Macaca mulatta: one gene and its partners. The protein of the gene in region 4 interacts with the protein of the main gene of each other region in a pairwise test. Links are inferred from orthologs where the notes say so. Each region holds a gene or a part of one and is shown on either strand. Other genes may lie near its edges.

Evidence for each region.
Region 1: the proteins of TRIM54 (region 4) and UTP14C interact in a two-hybrid assay, tested with the Homo sapiens proteins (2 studies listed by BioGRID and IntAct). The two-hybrid records come from large-scale screens. The link is inferred for Macaca mulatta from reciprocal best matches to the Homo sapiens genes TRIM54 and UTP14C.
Region 2: the proteins of TRIM54 (region 4) and OTUB2 interact in binary tests that used the Homo sapiens proteins (3 or more experiments, as listed by UniProt). The two-hybrid records come from large-scale screens. The link is inferred for Macaca mulatta from reciprocal best matches to the Homo sapiens genes TRIM54 and OTUB2.
Region 3: the proteins of TRIM54 (region 4) and CCDC102B interact in binary tests that used the Homo sapiens proteins (3 or more experiments, as listed by UniProt). The two-hybrid records come from large-scale screens. The link is inferred for Macaca mulatta from reciprocal best matches to the Homo sapiens genes TRIM54 and CCDC102B.
Region 5: the proteins of TRIM54 (region 4) and SDCBP interact in binary tests that used the Homo sapiens proteins (3 or more experiments, as listed by UniProt). The two-hybrid records come from large-scale screens. The link is inferred for Macaca mulatta from reciprocal best matches to the Homo sapiens genes TRIM54 and SDCBP.

The regions. Positions count from the first base shown.
Region 1 is NC_133422.1:31,264,674-31,268,907, forward strand, and holds the start of UTP14C (U3 small nucleolar RNA-associated protein 14 homolog C), read left to right. Parts: upstream 1-1,422; coding exon 1,423-3,735; 3' UTR 3,736-4,234. Other genes in the region: ALG11 (GDP-Man:Man(3)GlcNAc(2)-PP-Dol alpha-1,2-mannosyltransferase), read left to right, coding at 934-1,205. UniProt on the Homo sapiens protein: Essential for spermatogenesis. May be required specifically for ribosome biogenesis and hence protein synthesis during male meiosis.
Region 2 is NC_133412.1:167,214,473-167,218,458, forward strand, and holds the start of OTUB2 (ubiquitin thioesterase OTUB2), read left to right. Parts: upstream 1-1,174; 5' UTR 1,175-1,178; intron 1,179-1,540; coding exon of another isoform or gene 1,541-1,707; intron 1,708-3,977; coding exon of another isoform or gene 3,978-3,986. Other genes in the region: ASB2 (ankyrin repeat and SOCS box protein 2), read right to left, coding at 562-717, 1,541-1,707, 3,978-3,986. UniProt on the Homo sapiens protein: Hydrolase that can remove conjugated ubiquitin from proteins in vitro and may therefore play an important regulatory role at the level of protein turnover by preventing degradation.
Region 3 is NC_133423.1:11,949,050-11,953,108, forward strand, and holds the start of CCDC102B (coiled-coil domain-containing protein 102B), read right to left. Parts: upstream 2,813-4,059; 5' UTR 2,735-2,812; intron 1-2,734. UniProt on the Homo sapiens protein: During interphase, forms fibers at the proximal ends of centrioles to maintain centrosome cohesion. During mitosis, dissociates from the centrosome following phosphorylation to allow centrosome separation. Contributes to CROCC/rootletin filament formation.
Region 4 is NC_133418.1:97,679,156-97,682,667, forward strand, and holds part of TRIM54 (tripartite motif-containing protein 54), read right to left. Parts: intron 909-3,512; coding exon 813-908; intron 283-812; coding exon 49-282; exon of another isoform or gene 16-48; intron 1-15. UniProt on the Homo sapiens protein: May bind and stabilize microtubules during myotubes formation.
Region 5 is NC_133413.1:69,233,085-69,237,177, reverse strand, and holds the start of SDCBP (syntenin-1), read right to left. Parts: upstream 2,813-4,093; 5' UTR 2,703-2,812; intron 1-2,702. UniProt on the Homo sapiens protein: Multifunctional adapter protein involved in diverse array of functions including trafficking of transmembrane proteins, neuro and immunomodulation, exosome biogenesis, and tumorigenesis.

The DNA.
Region 1 (4,234 bases), on a different chromosome or scaffold from region 4:
GATGCTCTCCAACCTCAAGCAGAATACGATATGAGCTACTGAATTCTATTCTGCAGGGATTTCACCACTGGTTTAGAAACATTTGGAATTATTTAATTTCTCTCCTATACATCCAGGATGATACCAGCTCTGTACCATCCTTCAGATAATTGGGAAAGCAGTCACTTAAATCATTCTCTGAAGGGCTTAATTCTCCTAGGAATACAGCTAAGAAAGGCTGGCTAGATTAATTTATATTTCATGTGTATCATTTGGCAGAAACTAACCACAACTTTCATTTAGTTCAGCACTGTTGTTGGGCACGCAGTAGTCTCAAATATGCCAGAAATCCAGGCAGTAACATAAGCACGGCAATAGTATGCTTCACTTAGGTGATTCGCATTTTTTATTTTTTCTGCTAATGTAATTTGAACTATTAAAATTGTTTTTGATATCTTTTTACTCCTTTTGTTTTTCTAATACCTGTTAATATTCTACCATCTTGCTAACATTCTCTAGTCTTTTTTAATTATCTGCAATATATCTTTTTTAATAGGTTAGTCTTCCATCTACTTGTCTATTTTAACTAAAAATAAAGCAGCAGGCTGGGTGTGGTAGCTCACGCTGGTAAATCCCAGCACTTTGGGAGGCCAAGATGGGAGGACCACTTGAGGCTAGGAGTTAGAGGCCAGCCTGGGCAACATAGTGAGACCCTCTCTCTCCAAAAAAAAAAAAAAAAAAAAAAAAAATTGTATTATTATGAAGCTATGAAAACTAAAAAACTTAAAATTATTTTATTTTGTACTATAGAAGTTAAATAAGCAAATGTCTAGACATATAGACAATTAAGTTTCTCATAAGTCCCTTAAAATTTTTGAAGATTTCTGTTCATCCTCATTCTTATGAACACACTCAAAAACTTAAAATACTACATGATTTTTGTTTTTTTCTCAGGAGTTGTGGAGTGTATGGCAGCTGGCACAATTATCCTTGCACACAATTCAGGGGGCCCAAAGCTTGACATTGTCGTTCCTCACGAAGGAGATATAACTGGCTTTCTGGCTGAGAGTGAAGAAGACTATGCTGAAACTATCGCTCACATTCTTTCCATGTCTGCAGAAAAGAGACTCCAAATCAGAAAAAGTGCTCGTGCATCTGTAAGCAGATTCTCTGATCAGGAATTTGAAGTGACATTCCTATCATCTGTGGAAAAGTTATTTAAGTAATGCCATATCTGGAAAATTAAAGATATTTTATATAAACTGGTTAAACACCTTCATATGTAAATATTTTTCTAAATTCAATCTCATTTGTCAAATCATTTTACTTTAGAAAACAGACAAGAAAATTTCCTTTTAGAATAAAAGGAAGTGTTGAAAAGAAAATGGATGACTAGCCTTCAGCTTCCATTCTTGGTACACATGAGAGAAGCTGGCTGCTGAGATGAATGTGAACCGGGTTGCGGAGAGCCTTCTGGCTTTGAGCCAACAGGAAGAATTAGTGGATTTGCCAAAAAACTGCCCCTTGAGTGAGAATGAAGATGAGGGGGACAGTGATGGAGAGAGAAAGCATCAAAAGCTTCTGGAAGCAATCAGTTCCCTTGATGGAAAGAATAGGCGGAAATTGGCTGAGAGGTCTGAGGCTAGTCTGAAAGTGTCAGAGTTCAATGTCAGTTCTGAAGGATCAGGAGAAAAGCTGGTCCTTGCAGATCTCCTTGAGCCTGTTAAAACTACTTCTTCTTTGGCCACTGTGAAAAAGCAACTGAATAGAGTCAAATCAAAGAAGGTGGTGGAGTTACCTCTTAACAAAGAAAACATTGAACAGATCCACAGAGAAGTAGCATTCGGTAAAACCTCACAAGTCCTCTCTAAATGGGACCCTATCGTCCTGAAGAACCAGCAGGCAGAGCAGCTGGCTTTTCCCCTGGGGAAGGAGCAGCCAGCCATTGCTCCCATTGAACATGCGCTCAGTGGCTGGAAGGCAAGAACTCCCCTGGAGCAGGAAATTTTTAACCTCCTCCATAAGAACAAGCAGCCAGTAACAGACCCTTTACTGACTCCCATGGAAAAGGCCTCTCTCCGAGCCATGAGTCTGGAAGAGGCAAAGATGCACCGAGCAGAGCTTCAAAGGGCTCGGGCTCTGCAGTCCTACTATGAGGCCAAGGCTCGAAGAGAGAAGAAAATCAAAAGTAAAAAGTATCACAAAGTCGTGAAGAAAGGAAAGGCCAGGAAAGCCTCAAAAGAGTTGGAGCAGCTGCAGAAGGTTAATCCAACTGTGGCATTGGAAGAACTGGAAAAATTTGAAAATGCCAGAATGATGGAAAGAATGAGCCTTAAGCACCAAAACAGTGGGAAATGGGCCAAGTCAAAGGCAATTATGGCAAAATATGACCTGGAGGCTCGCCAAGCTATGCAGGAACAGTTGGCCAAGAACAAAGAACTGACACAGAAACTCCAGGTAGCCTCTGAGATTGAGGAAGAGGAGGGAGGCACAGAAGAAGTGGAAGAACTCCTTGTCCCCCATGTAGTGAATGAAGTCCAGATGAATGTGGAAGGACCGAATCCCTGGATGCTCAGAAGCTGCACCAGTGACACCAGAGAGGCTGCAACCCAGGAGGACCCTGAGCAACTGCCAGAGCCTGCGACCCATGAGGTTTCTGAAAGTGAGGGAGAAAGACCAGTGGCAGAGGAAGAAATTTTGTTGAGAGACTTTGAGGAGAGGCGATCCCTTAGAAAAAGATCTGAGCTCAACCAGGATGCTGAGCCAGCAGGCATTCAAGAAACAAAAGATTCTAGCAGCCAGGAGGTGCTGTCTGAATTGAGGGCACTATCTCAGAAATTGAAGGAAAACCATCAGTCCAGGAAGCAAAAAGCAAGTTCAGAGGGGACTGTTCCCCAGGTCCAGAGAGAGGAACCTGCCCCAGAAGAAGAGGCGCCCCTGTTGCTACAGAGGCCAGAGAGAGTACAAACTGTGGAAGAGCTAGAAGAGCTGGGAAAAGAAGATTGTTTTCAAAATAAGGAGCTTCCCAGACCTGTGTTAGAAGGGCAGCAGTCAGAGAGGACCCCAAATAATCGGCCTGATGCCCCTAAGGAGAAGAAAGAGAAGGAGCAACTGATCAACGTACAGAACTTCCTAACTACACAGTCTCCTTCCGTGAGGTCTTTGGCAGTTCCCACAACAATAGAGGAGCTGGAAGATGAAGAGGAGAGAGACCAAAGGCAGATGATAAAGGAAGCTTTTGCTGGGGATGATGTCATCAGAAATTTCTTGAAAGAGAAGAGAGAAGCTGTGGAGGCGAGTAAGCCAAAGGACGTGGACCTGACACTACCTGGCTGGGGCGAGTGGGGTGGTGTGGGCCTAAAGCCTAGTACCAAGAAAAGACGCCAGTTTCTCAAAGCCCCTGAGGGTCCTCCAAGAAAAGATAAGAATTTGCCAAATGTGATTATCAGTGAGAAGCGCAACATCCACGCAGCAGCTCATCAGGTACAAGTGCTTCCATATCCATTTACCCACCATCGGCAATTTGAAAGGACCATCCAGACCCCTGTAGGATCCACATGGAACACCCAGAGGGCTTTCCAAAAGCTGACTACTCCCAAGGTCATCACCAAGCCAGGTCATATCATTAAGCCCATAAAAGCAGAGGATGTGGGCTACCGGTCTTCCTCAAGGTCAGACCTGTCTGTCATACAGTGGAATCCAAAACAAATCACCACACGTCACAGTAAAGAGTTGAAGAAAAACTCTGTAGGTTGAGTAGCTGGAAAAGTGACAGCTAGGAGTTCTGATTCCACTTCCTTTGGTCCAGTTTTACTCTGCTACAGGGTGGATTCCAGAACTGGCTCAGCACATTGCATGTAGTTGAGCCACATTTTTAAAAAAAGAAAATGGATGACCATTAATTGACTAGCATTTTAGAATTGATCAGACATTAGAACACAGAAAAATGCTGGTACATTTACATTCTAAACAATACAGTGGATGACCCTTTTGAATATACCTAATGATTTCCTTTAAAAAGAAATTTTAAACAGACTTGTGTAATCATGTTCTCAAAGCATACAGTCAAGAGGTGGGACTGACTGATGCTTTATAGGTGTGTGTAGGGCAGTAGAGGCCAAGGTGCTGCCAACAGTCCTTTCCATACCGGTACTGGTGAAAATTGTTTTTGTTTAGTGCTATCAGCACATTTGTGTGGGTCTCGTTATCGCTTGACAGTACCGCATCTCAGCCTGGAAGTCAGGTTTAAGTCATT
Region 2 (3,986 bases), on a different chromosome or scaffold from region 4:
GGTGCACAGGTTGGACTATAGTTTTTCAGCTCCGAGCCCTCAGTGTCCCTCAGCATCCTGGCCCATGGGAGGCAGTTGGAAAATGTTGGTAAAATGCATGCAGGAGGCCGGGCGCGGTGGCTCAAGCCTGTAATCCCAGCACTTTGGGAGGCCGAGACGGGCGGATCACGAGGTCAGGAGATCGAGACCCTCCTGGCTAACACGGTGAAACCCCGTCTCTACTAAAAAATACAAAAAAAAACTAGCCGGGCAAGGTGGCGGGCGCCTATAGTCCCAGTTACTTGGGAGGCTGAGGCAGGAGAATGGCGTGAATCCAAGAGGAGGAGCTTGCAGTGAGCTGAGATCCGGCCACTGCACTCCAGCCTGGGTGACAGAGCGAGGCTCCGTCTCAAAAAAAAAAAAAAAAAAATGCATGCAGGAATGAATGATTCAGTTACATAAATTGTGAATTTGAGCAGGGCCACACTGGGGGTTATGCACTTATGGGAGCAACATTCCCTGTTGCCCACCCACCTTCTGGATTCTTCCTCAGGAAAGCCCACTCCGGGGTGGGGACCTCACCTTTGTAGAGCGGTGTCTCTCGGGATTTGTTAGAGATGTCCGGCTCTGCTCCTGCCTGGAGAAGTGACAGGAGACAGTCCAGGTGGCCCCTGCACGTTGCCAAGTAAACGGCTGTTTCCTCCTGCAGGGTGCGCTGGTCGATGGTCCCTGGGTACGCTAGGGAGGGCCGACCGGGAAATTCATGTAGGAAGAAGATACTCGATCCCGCAACACAGAGGCTTTCCAGATTGCCTCCCAATTTCAGGAACAATCTATGACATCCTCTGAAATTTACCAACTACAGACTGTATTCATCTGGCCCTTTCACAGGGCCATTTTAGCTTCCTGGTTGTACAAGTCCATGGTCAGATGCCACGTCCTCTGAGAAGCCTTCCCTAATTGAGCCCCTCCCTCTTCTAATACTCCTGTCCTTCCCTCGAACTCACACCAGCCATTGCTGGAAACCCACTGTTACATGCTGTGGTTTCTTGGAGTGTGGGGGACCGTTTGGGGTCTGTGCTGCTTCAGGGCAGAGGTGACACCTGCCTGCAGGAGTTGTCCTTCTAAGCCTGGCTCAGCACAAAGACAGGGCTCAGAGAGGAGGCATGGCTGGCCCAGGGCCCCACAGCAGGTGGGGGATAGCCTTGGCCGGGTACAGGCACAGCTGCAGTATTTTTCATACCAAATCAGCCCCTGGGACATTCTGGAACAAGTTGGCAGCAGCTCTGCTAAAAGTCAGCCCTCCCTCATTCCTTTTCTAGGAATGAGGCTCTCCTGTCCTCAGAGGCCTGGAGAGGTGGCAGCAGGGGGTGTCTGTCGGGGGTGGAGACAACTCATCTCCCCTCTCCTAACTCTGTGACTAACTGACAAACGAAGGTGACAGCCTTGCCTGTCCTTCTCACCAAGGTGGTTGTGGGCAAAGAACATGAAGCCCCAGGAGCAGCAGCCCTTCCCCCAGTCCCTTTCCCACCTCTTGCCACATCCAGAGCCCAACCCTCACCTCGCTGCAGGACCTTCAGGCAGCCTAGCTGGCCATAGTACGCGGCCTCGTGCAGCGGTAGCCAGCCCTCCTTGTTGGGCTCTGCGAGATTCTTCCCTTCCTTGATCATGGTCTTCAAGGCCTCTTCATCGCCATTCTTGATGGCCTTTATCAAGGGATCCACAGGCCTGTGAGAGCAAGGAGTGGGTCAGTCCTCAAGGTCAGGCCAAGGCCAGACCAGGGGTCCTTTCTCCCAGGGAGTGCTGGCAGTGGGGTCACTCGGTCCTCGTCCCCGCTGGTTCTAGGATGAGCACTCAGCCCCCTGCAGCCCAGTGGCTGCAAGAGGATTGGGGGACCCCTTAATCCCTGTGGCTTTCTATGGCTGCAGTGAATGTTATACCAAGACCATTTTTACCAAGAGGATTCAGGCACACAGTGCCAGCCTCCTAAGGGGTGGCTAACCACCCACATGCCAGGCACTTGTGAGAATTAAATGCTTTCCCTGAGTATAGCGCTCTAACGTTTACCAGGCATGCCCACCTCGAGGGCCCCTCTTAACCCTGAGCCTCTCTCTGGGGTCTTCCAACTCCTCTCCTTGCCTGGTCACTTATTCCCACTCCCAGTACATCCAGCTGCAGAAAAAAAAATTACTGGAAGGATTAATAAATTTGAAGCTTTCACAATTTAAAACTTTTGAATGTCAAAAAGACTTCAGGGCTAAAGTGAAGCCATTCCTTGCTTGGCTTGTTAAAGTCCCTTTGTTCATTCATTGCTTCCTTCCTTCCTTCATTCATTCATTCACTGAGCTCCCTGCCCCGTCCTTGGAGAGTCCATGAGAACCACGATGGCTGTGGCTCTCTGATCCACTTTTGGGGAGGGTTCTGCATCAATAGTCCCATTTCCCAGATGGAGAAGGTGAGGCTGGAGGCAAGCCTCATTCCCAGGACCCCCACGCCATGTTGGGCTAGGATGGGCTCTGGGGGTCTCTGCCACCAGCCCCTGCACCCTCCCAGCCACTTCCTCCAGCGTGAGCAGCACTTCTTCCTGCTCTCAGGCTCTCTGGTTATTAATAGCATCAGAGCACAGATGCCGGTGAAGCAACAGACCCAGCAAGGACGATGGGAAACTGATCAGATAAGTCCTGAAGTCCCCATCAACACCGTCACTGCCACCTTCACGAGTTCCACTTAGGAGCAGCCAGAGCAGCCCCTGCCAGCATCAGGAAAAGCCCAGTGGGGGTATGTGCCCCCCTTTTCCTGGAGGGTCTTCAATGGGACCCCAGCTGAAGTGGAAGGGAGGAGGGCTGGCTTTTCTCGTGGCCTTGGTGAGCAGGACGCGGTGCAGTGTCGTGAGAACACTTTCAGGACCTGCCGCCCAGCTTAGGTCTCTCCAGCTGTGATACAAGGACCCTGGAGCTCTTAGCCCACACATTCACAGCTTCTCTGTGACCTCAGACATAGTCTCTGCCCTGTGGGTGGGGGAAGGTGCTGGGGGGGTCAGGCCATCAGAAAGTAATAAGCTGGATGGGACCCTAGAGGTCACGTTGCCCTGTCCTACAGAGAAGGGAGACTCAGAGGAGCCAGCGACTCTCAGGCAGTCACGTGGGAGGTAGCAGTAGCTGAGACCAGCACTGGGTTTCCCTTTTCCAGATTGTCAACCACACCACACACCCACCACACCAAGGAAGTGGAGGGCGGCAGGATTTGAAAAAGGCTGGGAAGGAGAAAGAAAATACTGACCAATTGCCTCCTCCCTTCTCTACAACGTAACTGAGTGAGGAAATGCGGTTCCAGTGATGGGGCCCCTCTTTTGCTTTTGGCTGCTTCCGGGGTCACTATTCCGGCGGTACAGAGAGGGGAGGGAGGCAGAATTATTTTCTAAGGAACCCATTAGCCCTGCCCCTGGTGCCAGGCAAACAGAACCCCTGCAGCTTAGATTAGTTCTGGATTTTAGCACCTGGCACTTCACAAACAAGGACAACAAAACAAAACAAAGGCTGTGGGTGTGGGCATTTTGGATGGACCCAGAGTGATGGCATGGAGGAAAGTGAGACTGGGACAAACAAGGGTGCAGCCAACTCATCAAGTTCAACTCCAAGCTCTTCTGGGCCTCAGGGATGCTAAGGCCATCTCCCCAATTTCCCTCGTGCTGGGTCCCCAGTTTCAGAGCCCCGTGGGGCTCCTCCAGCACTCAGGTCCCGTGCTGGGGGCATCTGAGGGAGGATCACCAGCATGCCTGGCTGGCAGTTCCTTGAGGACCAAAGTCTGTGGCCACCAAGCCCAGCTCAGCAGGAGCAGTGGGGCCCCAAGGGGACGCCCCTAGAAGGGGCTTGCACGGCAGGTGCCTCCATAATGCCCTCTGCCCTCCTGGGGGCTGGGGGCCTGCTTCCCACCCTCCCTACCATCCCAATTAGGGGAGTGAACTTGGATGGTCCTGGGGCCAGACAGGAGTCACTTACGCCAACTGG
Region 3 (4,059 bases), on a different chromosome or scaffold from region 4:
CAGGTTTGGTGTCTGATAAGGGTTTGCTCTCTGCTTCCAGGATGGTACCTTCTTGTTGTGTTTTCACATGGCTTAAAGTTGAAGGGGAAAAGGGGTCTAAGACAATCCCTTCAATCTCTTTTATAAGGTCTCTAATCACATTCATGAGGGTCCCACCTCATGATTAAATCATGCCCAAATGGCCCCACCTCTTAATGTTATCATATTGGCAATTAAGTTTCAACATATGAAATTTGGGTTACACATTTAGACTACAGCAATATGTATGCAAAATACACAAGGTATATATATATATACCTGTACAAGTGTAGCTTATCTGAAAGTCTTTTTAAAAATATTGTCAAAATAGTAGAATCTTTTAAATCTCAAAAAAAAAATCACCACTTGAGGTAGATAAGCAGAAAAAAACACTTAAAATTTTCACCGCAGAATATGTTTTAGCATGTGGAAATTTAGCATGTTCTCTGAACAAAAAGCCTAAAAAGTTTATTGGTTTATTAAATCATTTTCAGATTAATGCATTATTTTGATCATTTTCACGTTGCCTAGATCAGTGATGTGCAACGGAAATATAATGCAAAACCACATATGTAATTATAAATTTTCTAGTAGCTACACTTAAAAATAAAAACATGTGAGATTAATTTTAATAATTTAATTAACTCATATCTAAGCTATAATCATTATAACATATTATCAGTACAAAAATATTGAGACATTTTACAGTTTTATATTGTCTTCCCAATCCAGTGATCCAGTGTATATTTTACATTTATAGTATATCTCGTTACAACCTCTCTAATTTCATCAGAAATATTTAATTGATATTTATTTTATAGAGACATGGTCTTGCTCTGTTGCCAGGCTGGAAGGCAGTGGCAGGATCCCAGCTCACTGCAACCTCAACTTCCCTGGCCCAACTTATCCTCCCACCTCAGCCTCTGGAGTAGCTGGGACCACAGGTGTGTGCCACCACATCCAGCTGATATTTTTTTTTGGAAACAATCTCCCTCTGCCGCCCAGGCTGGAGTGCAGAGGTGCAATCTCGGCTCACTGCAAGCTCGGTCTCCTGGGTTCATGCGTTCTTCTGTCTCAGCCTCCCAAGTAGCTGGGACCACAGGCGCCTGCCACCACGCCTGGCTAATTCTCTGTATTCTTAGTAGAGATGGGGTTTCACTGTGTTAGCCAGGATGGTCATAATCTCTTGACCTAGTGATCCATCCGCCTCAGCCTCCCAAAGTGCTGGGATTACAGCCGTGAGCCACCGCGCCAGGCCACATCCGGCTAATTTTTTAATTTTTTGTACAGATGGGGTCTCCCTGTGTTGACCAGGCTGGTCTCAGTCTCCTCACCTCAAGCAATCCTCCTGCCTCAGCCTCCCAAAGTGCTGGGATAACAGGCATGAGCCACCGACGCCTGGGACTTGATCAGTATTTAGATTTCATAAAGTTTACAGTTGAAAAAGTAGATTCACATACCTCAGTTGTTCCAACCATATTAAAAAAACTTTCCAATAGCTGAATCAAGTGCCAGTTTTTGAGTTTACTGAGATTAAAATTAAATATTCAGTTACTTCATCACACTAGGCACATTTCGAAAGCTCAATAGCGACATATGGTTAGTGGCTACACTACTGAAGAGCACAAATCTAGGTCAACCTGTTTTCGTTGTTCTCCACATGTGAACTTAAACTGTAACGCAAATATAAAAAGATATTATTTTATTTTGCATGATGTGGAAGACAGAAAAATTTGAAATACATTAGAATGAAAAAAAAATTGAATATGGGTCATTCAGAGACCTTGCCAAGAAAGTAGAAAAGCTTCTGTATAAGAGTATCGAGGCGATGGTACTATTATAAAGCTGTTCCACCACCGCGAGAACATTACCATCACTTCAACTGTCCTCTTACGTTTTAGTCTACTTTTTTCAAAAAAAAAAAAAAAAGAAAGAAAAGAAAAGAGAAACAAAAAGAAAAATTGAATCTGCAGAGGGCTCGCGTTTGTGCATGCTGTATGCACAAAGGGGGTGACATTTAGGGCTTGCTCTCAATTACAGTGCAATTTAATCTTCCAGTCACTAGGAATAACAACGTTTTATAACATTTCGGCCTGTTGGAATTTTGAACCTAAGGTGAACCGGCTGACATCATATCCCCCTTCTGCTGTCATAGGTTTTCAAAATTTGGTTTGATCTAAATTCTCTGGTACCTTATGTCCCATAAAAATTTCATCTAATTCGGAAGTAGTGACTGCTGCAGTAACCGTCTCATGAAAGTATATGGTTTTTACAAATCATTGTCGTGTAGAAGAAAAAACAGGTAGCAATATAAATATTTCATACTATTTATTTAGTCCCAAAATAATCAGAAAAGAGTCATCAAAAAATATCCTACGCTTAACTTCATGTTCTCAAGTTTCAAGAGAAAGTTTTTAAAGAGGCAATCCTTACTTTGGCAAAAATGCATTAAAGCTTGCTGCATTTAAGAGATGTCCCATTATGCAAACAGGTTGAAAGAATATTACAAGTACGTTTTGGAAAAATACGGAGTGTCGCGCAGCTCAGCAATCCACAGTCTTAATGCGCGCCTCTTTCCAGGAATTTGATCCAGCATCAAAACCCACAGGTGCATTTACTGCATGGGAGTAGCAAGTAAATGATGTGCCAATATTCAACCTGCAACTGCGTCGTCGGAGCCTACCTCACCCTCAGCGTAACTTTCACCGGTACTCACCTTCCCAGAAACTCGCCCCAGTGAACAACCACCGTTGTCCCTAGTAAAGCCCTTAAGCAGGGTTCCCACGCTCCTGGGCTGGGCGGGGCGCCGGGGGCGCAAAGCATTCTTAAGAACACGACTGCGCAGGCGCTACCCTCCTCGCGCAGGCGCCGTACTCCCCCTCATAGCCAGAATTAGAGACCAGCCGGGTGCTGGGAGGTTAACGAGGCCGGCTAGTCCCGCCCCCGTATTGAGCGCGGTGCTTCTCTTCCGCTCCGGGTGGGGTCTGCTTCCCTTTCCGGGCGGGCAGGCAGCGAACCCCAGTGTCTTTATCCCTCTTTTGCACAGAGTCAGCTTCTGCAGCTCTCCCTGGCTGGCATGGCAGCGTGGAGGAGTTGGGCCGCTCTGCGGCTCTGCGCCACAGGTAATGGGCGCGCAGCGGTCGGAACCTGGCCCCGCCGTGGGGCCGGGATTGGGCTCGGGTCTGGGGCGAGGCCTGCGGGGCCCGCGGAGATGCCCACCCGGTCCCCGGCAGCGTCCTGCCGTCCCCGCCCCACCGCCCTGCCTGGCCGTGAAGGAGCGGACACCTGAGGGTCCTTCCGCCGCTGCTGTGCGGGACCAGTGCTGGACGTGGGAAGGGCGCGCTGCCTTGTGTTTGTGTTTTTCTCATTGTGGCAGGAAGTTTCAGTAAAGCTTACTCCTTTGATGGGCAAGAAGGATGCCGCCGTCCCACCTTAACGACCAGATCTTGTCTTGACTTTAGGTTCCGAGTCTTGTTATGTTTAAGGGTTTTTACCACCAGTGCTCAGAGAGGGTGGTCGAGGACAGATCAGGGTCAGGCCGCCGGGATTGTGCGGTGTGAAAAGGACCTGAGTGTGTGTCAGCGGTTCTCAGCTGCCTCCCGTCAGCACGGAGTGCCCTCATTCTCACTGGGGTCCGCTCACTTAACCTTTTAGAATCCACTCTGTGTCAGACACGGCCGTGTAATAAGTATTAGAGTTACAGCTCGACTTTCTTTCTATTTGGGGGTAAATATTTTGAATGACATTTGGAGTTTTTACTGAAGAGATAATTGCTATTAAAGCAAAAGAAGTATAGAAGAATGCTGTCTATATTCCAAAAAGATGGAATGGTAAAAAGGAGAAGTAAGATGAGAGTGAAAATGAGGAAAAAGGAACTGTGTATATTAGCTTTATTGGCTTACCTAGAACTTGGCCGGTCACCATGTGGTTGCATACAGACTATTTATTAAATGGATGAACTACTTTTGCTTTTGCATCATTTGCACCCTGGGATGTATCAGTGATGAATTTTTTGGTAGGTTGTAAAAGGTCAAAAACACC
Region 4 (3,512 bases):
CCCGACTCTAGCCACTGTGTGGCACTGCTACCCTCCCCTAGGGCCCACCTGGAGGTAGAGCGCCATCTGTGGCTCTTCCATGGACTGAATGGCGGACTCCACCAGCTTAGAGGAGGCCTCCAGGTGGTCGCCATACTGACGGATGAGGCCGCGGACGCGCTGCAGCTTCTCCTCTTGCTCCCGGGCCAGCGCCTGCAGCAGCTCGCCCTTGCGCTCCTCCAGCACTGCGCACAGGCTCTCAAACCTCTGGTTTAACAACTGCTTCTGCCTCCGGCTATTGTCCTAAAAGATGGGGAGCAAGGATGAGGGAAGGCGTGGCTGAGACCCGGTGGCTGGGAAAGCACAGGATACTCACAGAGAACCAACACAGAAAGTGACCCACCCATAGTGACACTGTGCGTTAGTGGCTGAGCCAGAATCCAGCCCAGATCTTTTCCATAATAAAAACACAATACTTTAAAGTAGCTTCACTGAGTGTTGTCTATATCCCTAGCCCTGGTTTTTATTTGCATTATTCCATATAATTCTCAAAAAGAACCCATGAGGTAGCTGGTGTACCATTTATCATCATCACTGTTTTATGAGGTTAAACAAAACCAAAGCACAGAGAAGTTAAATAATTGGATTAAAGTTTTGCGGAAAAGCTGGAATGAGCACCCAGCAGCCTGGCAAAAGCACCTCCCACCACTCCCAGGACCCCAGAAACTTTTGGACCAGTTTGGCCAGAGGTCAGAGAGGAGCAGTTCTCTTGGGAGCCCGGGGTCCGCAGGCCAGCCAGTTGCTGTTCCCCCTGCCCTCCAGCCCAGGCTCACCTCAATGGTCTGGCACACCTCCTCCATCTGCGTGATGACTGCTTGCACACGGTCATTGCCTGCCACTAGCATCGCGATGCCATCGCTGAGCTCACTCTGATACACACACAGGTTAGCACTTAGAGCTGGGACCTCACCTAGAGCTATACCCCTCACCCCAGCCAGGGTTGCCTAGGAGAGGGCTGGCCCCTCCACCCCACCCCCCATGAGGGCATCTACAGCAATCTAGAAGGTTTGAACCATCAAAAGGTACAGAAGCACATTCTAGGGATTCTGGAAGGAGGTGGAGAGAAGCCCTCCACCACTAAGTGGGGAAGGAACAGACAGTCTCCAAACATCCACCAGATAGTAGGCACTGGGCTAGATGCTTTATCTGTAGATTCGTTTCCTGCATAAATTCTGAGAAATTCTTCACGATTATCCATCTGCATAATATTGCCTTTTCTCTATTCTCTTTATCCTCTCATTCTGGGAATCTGATTAGACCTGTTAGACCTTCTCACTCTCAGCCTTCTCATCTCCTAGAACTGCACATTCTGTTTTTCTTTTAGTCCTCTCATGCTATTCACTAGTTCTGTTTTCAGACAAATCTATCATTTAATTCACCTGTTGAGTTTTTTGTTTTTGTTTTTTTTTTGAGACGAATTCTTGCTGTCACCCAGGCTGGAGTGCAGTTGCGTGATCTCAGCTCACTGCAAGCTCCGCCTCCTGGGTTCTCGCCATTCTCCTGCCTCAGCCTCCAGAGTAGCTGGGACTACAGGCACCCGCCACCACACCCGGCTGATTTTTTGTATTTTTAGTAGAGACAGGGCTTCACCGTGTTAGCCAGAATGGTCTTGATCTCCTGACCTTGTGATTCGCCTGCCTCAGCCACCCAAAGTACTGGAATTACAGGTGTGAGCCACTTCGCCTGGCCGAATTTTTTTTTTGTAAGAGACAGTCTCACTCTGTCACTCAGGCTGGAGTGCAGTAGTATGATCATTGTTCACTGGATCCTCGAACTCCTGCACTCAGGCGATCCTCCTGCTTCAGCCTCCCGAGTAGCTGGGATTACAGGCACATGACACCACTCCCAACTAATTACAACAAAACAATTTTTTAGGCCGGGTGCAGTGGCTCACACCTATAATCTCAGCACGATGGGAGGCCAACACGAGGTCAGGAGATCAAGACCATCCTGGCTAACACAGTGAAAACCCGTCTCTACTAAAAATATAAAAAATTAGCCAGGTGTGGTGGTGGACACCTGTAGTCCCAGCTACTCCAGAGGCTGAGGCAGGAGAATGGTGTGAACCTAGGAGGCGGAGCTTGCAGTGAGCCGAGATCCTGCCACTGCACTCCAGCCTGGATGACAGAGTGAGACCTCCGTCTCAAAAAAAAAAAAATTTTTTTAGAGATGGAGGTCTCACTGTCACCCAGGCTAGTCTCAAACTCCAGGCCTTATCCTCCTGCCTCAGCCTCCCTAGTCACTGGGTTTACAGGTTCCAGCCACCATGCCCAGCCATCTGTTAAATGTTCTATTTTATATATATATAATATATATAATATATTTTTTATATGTTATATATATTTTATATATATATATATTTGAGATAAGGTCTCACTCTGTCTCCCAGGCTGGAGTGCAGTGGCTCAATCTCAGCTCACTGCATCCTCGACCTTCCAGGCTCAGGTGATCCTCCCACCTCAGCCTCCCAGGTAGCTGGGACTACAGGTGCATGCCACCACGTCCAGCTAATTTTTTGCATTTTTTTTGTAGACGGGGTTTCAACATTTCCCCAGGCTGGTCTCCAGTTCCTGGGCTCAAGTGATCCTCCCACCTCAGCCTCCCAAAGAGTCGGGATTACTGGCGTGAGCCACCACACCCAGCTACATGGTTGTTTTTTGGTATTCTATTATTGTTTGGTTTTTTAAATTTTTCATCTTGTTTTAAAAAGCATTTGATTCATAGTGACTTCCAATTATTTAATAATTCCAATATCTCAGTTCCTTTTGGGGGTGTCCTAAATCTGTAATTTTTATGTCTGCTGACTTCACTCATGGATTACGTTTCTCTGTGCACCTTCAATTGTGAGCCAATATTTTGTTGATATTAATTAATCTAGGGAATACCTACAGGCCTAAACTGAGCATATTCTCCTCCAGGCAGTATTTGCATTTGCCTCTGTTGAAAGCCAGGTGGCGCAATTTACTGCTTTAGCGCCTAGGATCCTTGTTTAACCAGCAGTCTCCGGAACTTTTTGCCCTGTTGCCCAGGCTGGAGTGCAATGACGTTATCTCAGCTCACTGCAACCTCCACTTCCCAGGTTCAAGCGATTCTCCTGCCTCAGCCTCCTGAGTAGCTGGGATTACAGGGCCTGCAACCACGCCCAGCTAATTTTTGGTATCTTTGGTAGAGACAGGGTTTCACCACGTTGGCCAGGCTGGTCTCAAACTCCTGACCTAGTGATCTGCCCGCCTCAGCCTCCCAAAGTGTTGAGATTACAGGCGTGAGCCACAGCACCCAGCCAGGTCTCTGGAATCTTAGCTGCAGGTACCCCTCTTTTAGGGGTTTGGAGGAATAGTCTGGTCTCTAGCTCAGTGACATTGCCAGCACTGGTCCTCTGGGAAATGCTGCCTTTTCTGTGCTTGCCACTCAGCGTTCTGCTTTCAGCTCAGCCTTTTCTTTTTGCCCCTCCCCACCCCCACTGATTTCCTTTG
Region 5 (4,093 bases), on a different chromosome or scaffold from region 4:
GTGCTGGGATTACAGGCTTGAGCCACCGGGCCCGGCCGTAAAGTTGTGTTTCATTATTTCACTTCTGCAAACTATTCATAGAGTGACTGAAAAATTTAAAATATAAAAATAAAGTATCAGGCCAGGAACCGTGTGGCTCATGCCTGTAATCCTAGCACTTTCGGAGGCTGAGACAGGAGGACTGCTTGACCCCAGGAGTTCAAGAACAGCCTGAGCAACACAGCAAGATTCCATCTCTAAAAAAAATAAAAACTAAAAAATGAAAAAATAAAGTATCCATTGGACCCAGATGGTAAGCATTCCAGATGGCTCATACATGAGGTCTAGAAACACAATTTGATATATCCTAAGCAGTCTTCCAGAGCAATGTTTCTCAATCTGGCTAATCATCACAGCCAAATTACCCGAGGCTCTAGTTATTATAAAATCAGCTTCCTGGGCAGACACAGATTTCATGGAAGGACTTAGGAACTCTTCTTTTTAATAAATATCCTGGGGGTTTCTAATGATCAGCCATTAAGAAGTATGTCCATATGAAGTCCACTCCAAGTAGAATATTTAATCCTTACCCATAGGATTCCATTTCTCACCTAGTGAATTGGCAAAAATCCAAAGTTTGACAACATTCTCTGACATCAAGGCTTTGAGAAACACTCATATACTACTAATGGGAGCATAAACTAGTACAATTACCATGGAGAGTGAGTTTGCAGTATCTACCAAAATTCTAAATTCAGATACCCTCCAACTCTGCAGTATCACTTCAGGTCTCAAAACCTGAAGTGTACAAATATATGTGCACAAAGGAAGCAACATATGTAAAAGTTTATTCACCGCAGCACTGACTGTAACAGCAAAAGACTTGAAAGCTATACATGCTGATATTAGAAAAGCTCCAAAATATTATCACTAACTGGAAAAATAAGAGCAAAATGTGGAGCAGTATATAAAATGTTAATGTTTGTGCTAAAAGGAGGCAAATACAGCTTATATGTTTGCCTATGTAGATATAAAATATCCCTAGAATACCTAAGAAATGTAAAAAAGTTGCCTGCCTGCCAGAAGGAGACTTGATACTATATACCTATTTACACTGCTTAAATTTTGAGACATGTGACTGTTTACCTACTCAAAAACAATACATTTACAAAAGATGTTGGCAGCACTTGAAAAGAAATTAATAAATGCTAACGTTAACTATTGCTAAAAGTAGAAAGTATTTTAAAGTTATTTGGGGGAGCTTTTCTTTTTTAGAATCTCTTGGCATTTAATACCTATGAAAAGTACCCAAATCTGGCAAAAACAGAGAAAATAGTTGTGTCACGCTCATTTTAAGAAACTCTTTAAACAGTACATTTAACCGGCAACCATTAGCAAATTCTTCCCCTATTGTTCCTCTTTTTCTCCTTTTTACATCTTTTCCTATAATGCCCAAAACTAAAAGTTAATGTCTCCAAAGTTAAATTTAATTTTCAATGGAGTGACTACTTACTGACCATTTTAAAAGTCATTCTACTTCTTTTTATTCTGTGCCACAAACCACTTGATTTATAATATTTCTGTACCATTTAAGGCACAAAAGTTTATAGAATTAAGTTGGTAACACAGAAGACAAAAGGACATATTTTCTACCGTTATCCCTCAATCTTAAACAGGAAAATAAAAAGACTGAACAAATTTGAGTTTTAACTAATCACATACACATTTAGAAATCAATTTAAAAGGCCCGCCGTTGTTTTTCAATGTAAATGTCCTCCTTTAATCAACTATTTATTTTTGAAACAAGCAGATATTAAGAGTTTGGTAAGCCGAGCGTATTTTCTAAGCAATGTACGCAATGGAAAAGTCAACAGTAAACTTGTATGTGGTTATACAGACGAGATAATCTAGAAACTCCTTTCAAAAATGGGCACATTCGAAGACTCTATGACTCAATAATCCCACTTTGGTAAAAGTGAAACTTTCCACATCCATATGCCTTCCCTTTCCCATTATTACAAGGAAATCCTGAAAGGAAGTCTCTGAGTCGTCAGATCTCAGGGGTATTTCCTTCTAAACACACCCAACTGGAAACGTTTCTCCCTCAGGTCCAACTTCTCCAGGAAAAAGCTCTCCCCACCCCCTTCCAAAAAAAGTCAAGGCTTCGCCCACTAAACGAACACTTCCTTCCTCCTTTCAAATCCAGGGCTTCCCGAATAACCCAAAAGGAGGGTGATTAAGTACAGACCAAGAAACGCGGAGCACGGGGAGGAACCGTGACCAGAGGCTCTTTCTTTACTCAACTCGAGATCGTATCGAGGAGAAAACAAGGATCGAGAGACTGTCCCAGGAAGAACCCCAGAGCTGGGGCGGGGGCTGCCGGCGTTCACCCGGCCGGGCCTCCGGGCTCAGCCAGCCCCGGCCCCAGCCCCGGCCCCAGCCCCAGCCCCAGCCCCAGCCCCAGCCCCAGCCCACGCAGGAGCCCGAAACCCGCGGGGTCGTGGCAGGCAGAGCGCGCTGCTCCCGCAAACTTGCCACCCAGCCAGCAGGGCGCAGGGAGGGGCGCGGAGCACCCTGAGGAGAGGGCGTCGCCGCTGCCTCCCGAAAACGGCTGCGACCGGGATGCAGTCCGTGAAGTGGCCCGGGGACCCTCACGCCTCTGCCCCAAGTCCCCGCGCCCGGGACCCGGCACCGGTGTCCTTCCTCCCCGCTTGGCCTCTTACCTAGCCCCACAAGGAAACGCTCGCCGCCACCGCCTCCGGTCACTGGCACGGACTTCTGAGGCCCAAGGGTAAGAGAGCGGCGCGCGCCCGAGGACCGCCCCCGAGGCGCGTCATGGCACCGCCCCCCGCCTTCGGCCCGCGCAGGCGCACCGCGCAGGGTCAGGTGATCGCGTCCCTAAGGTAACCGGGCGGTAGGGGTAAAGAGGCCTGGGCGTGGGTCGTTCCTGCAGCTCCAGGTGTTCGGCAGTGCGGGGCGGTCCATGCCGGCCGCTCTCTGCTGCCCAGCGGTTATGCTCCCAGTCTTCTCCGCTCTTCGGCAGTTAGTGCCCGCGGGCCCCGTGCCACCCACTCACTACAGTGTGTATCGCAGCTCACGGTCTCTTGGTTCTCGTCGCCTCCAATTCAAAGAGGTCTCTAGAGCCTATGCTCCCTCTTGGGATGCCTTCGACTTCCACCACTGCTGCCCTAGTAACACTCTCCGCTTGCTGTACCTGTCCACTGTAGGCTCAGAAACGTTCTTCTCACGACCCCTTCGCAACTCCTGCTTTATTTTTCTGTTTGAAATTTGGATGTTGGGGTGGCGGGGGGGCGTATTACGATGTCCTCCTGAGCTAATATTCCTTCGCTGCTGAGAGTTACTTGTGGTGGTGCGCAAAAGTAATTGCTTCCCAGTACAAAAACATAACGATCATTTCTTGAGGGCTGATTTTGTGCCAGCCATAGCTCTACGAACTTAATATATAGTCTTATTTGGTCTTCACATCAGTCTATAAAATAAATACAACATCCCATTACAAAGAAACTGAGGCACAGTTTACCCAAGAGTAAGCATAGTTACCATGGAATACTGTAGAGTCCTTGACAAAATAGCATTTACAAGCTGTTTATTTCTAGCTAAATTAGTGCCACAATAATTTAATATGTGGCAAAACTAATAAAAATCTGAGTGTAAAAGAGGTGACAACTAAAGATGAAAACTTTGCCGTCAGTAAGGTTATAGTTAGGCTGATGAAATGGACATTTAAAAATAATTACAAGGTAGATTGGGAAGGAAGATACACAACTTTTTGCTTTCAGATGAGATGATTTCTAACATAGAAAATCTGGAAAAAATTGACACTCCTCTAAAAAAATAGACAGAATGAAAAGCAATTATAGCAAGTTTGCATGAACAACTTTAAAACAGACTCATTCTAAGCCAAAATGCTTGGGACCAGAAATGTTTCCAATTTTTGATTTTGTTTTTTTTTTGCTTTTGTAATATTTGCATTATATACTTACGAGTTTACCATCCCTACTCCAAAACCCAAAATGCTCCAGTGAGCATTTCCCTTGGTCCTCATGTCAGCACTCAAAAAGTTTCATATTTTGGAGTAGTTCATATTTTGGAT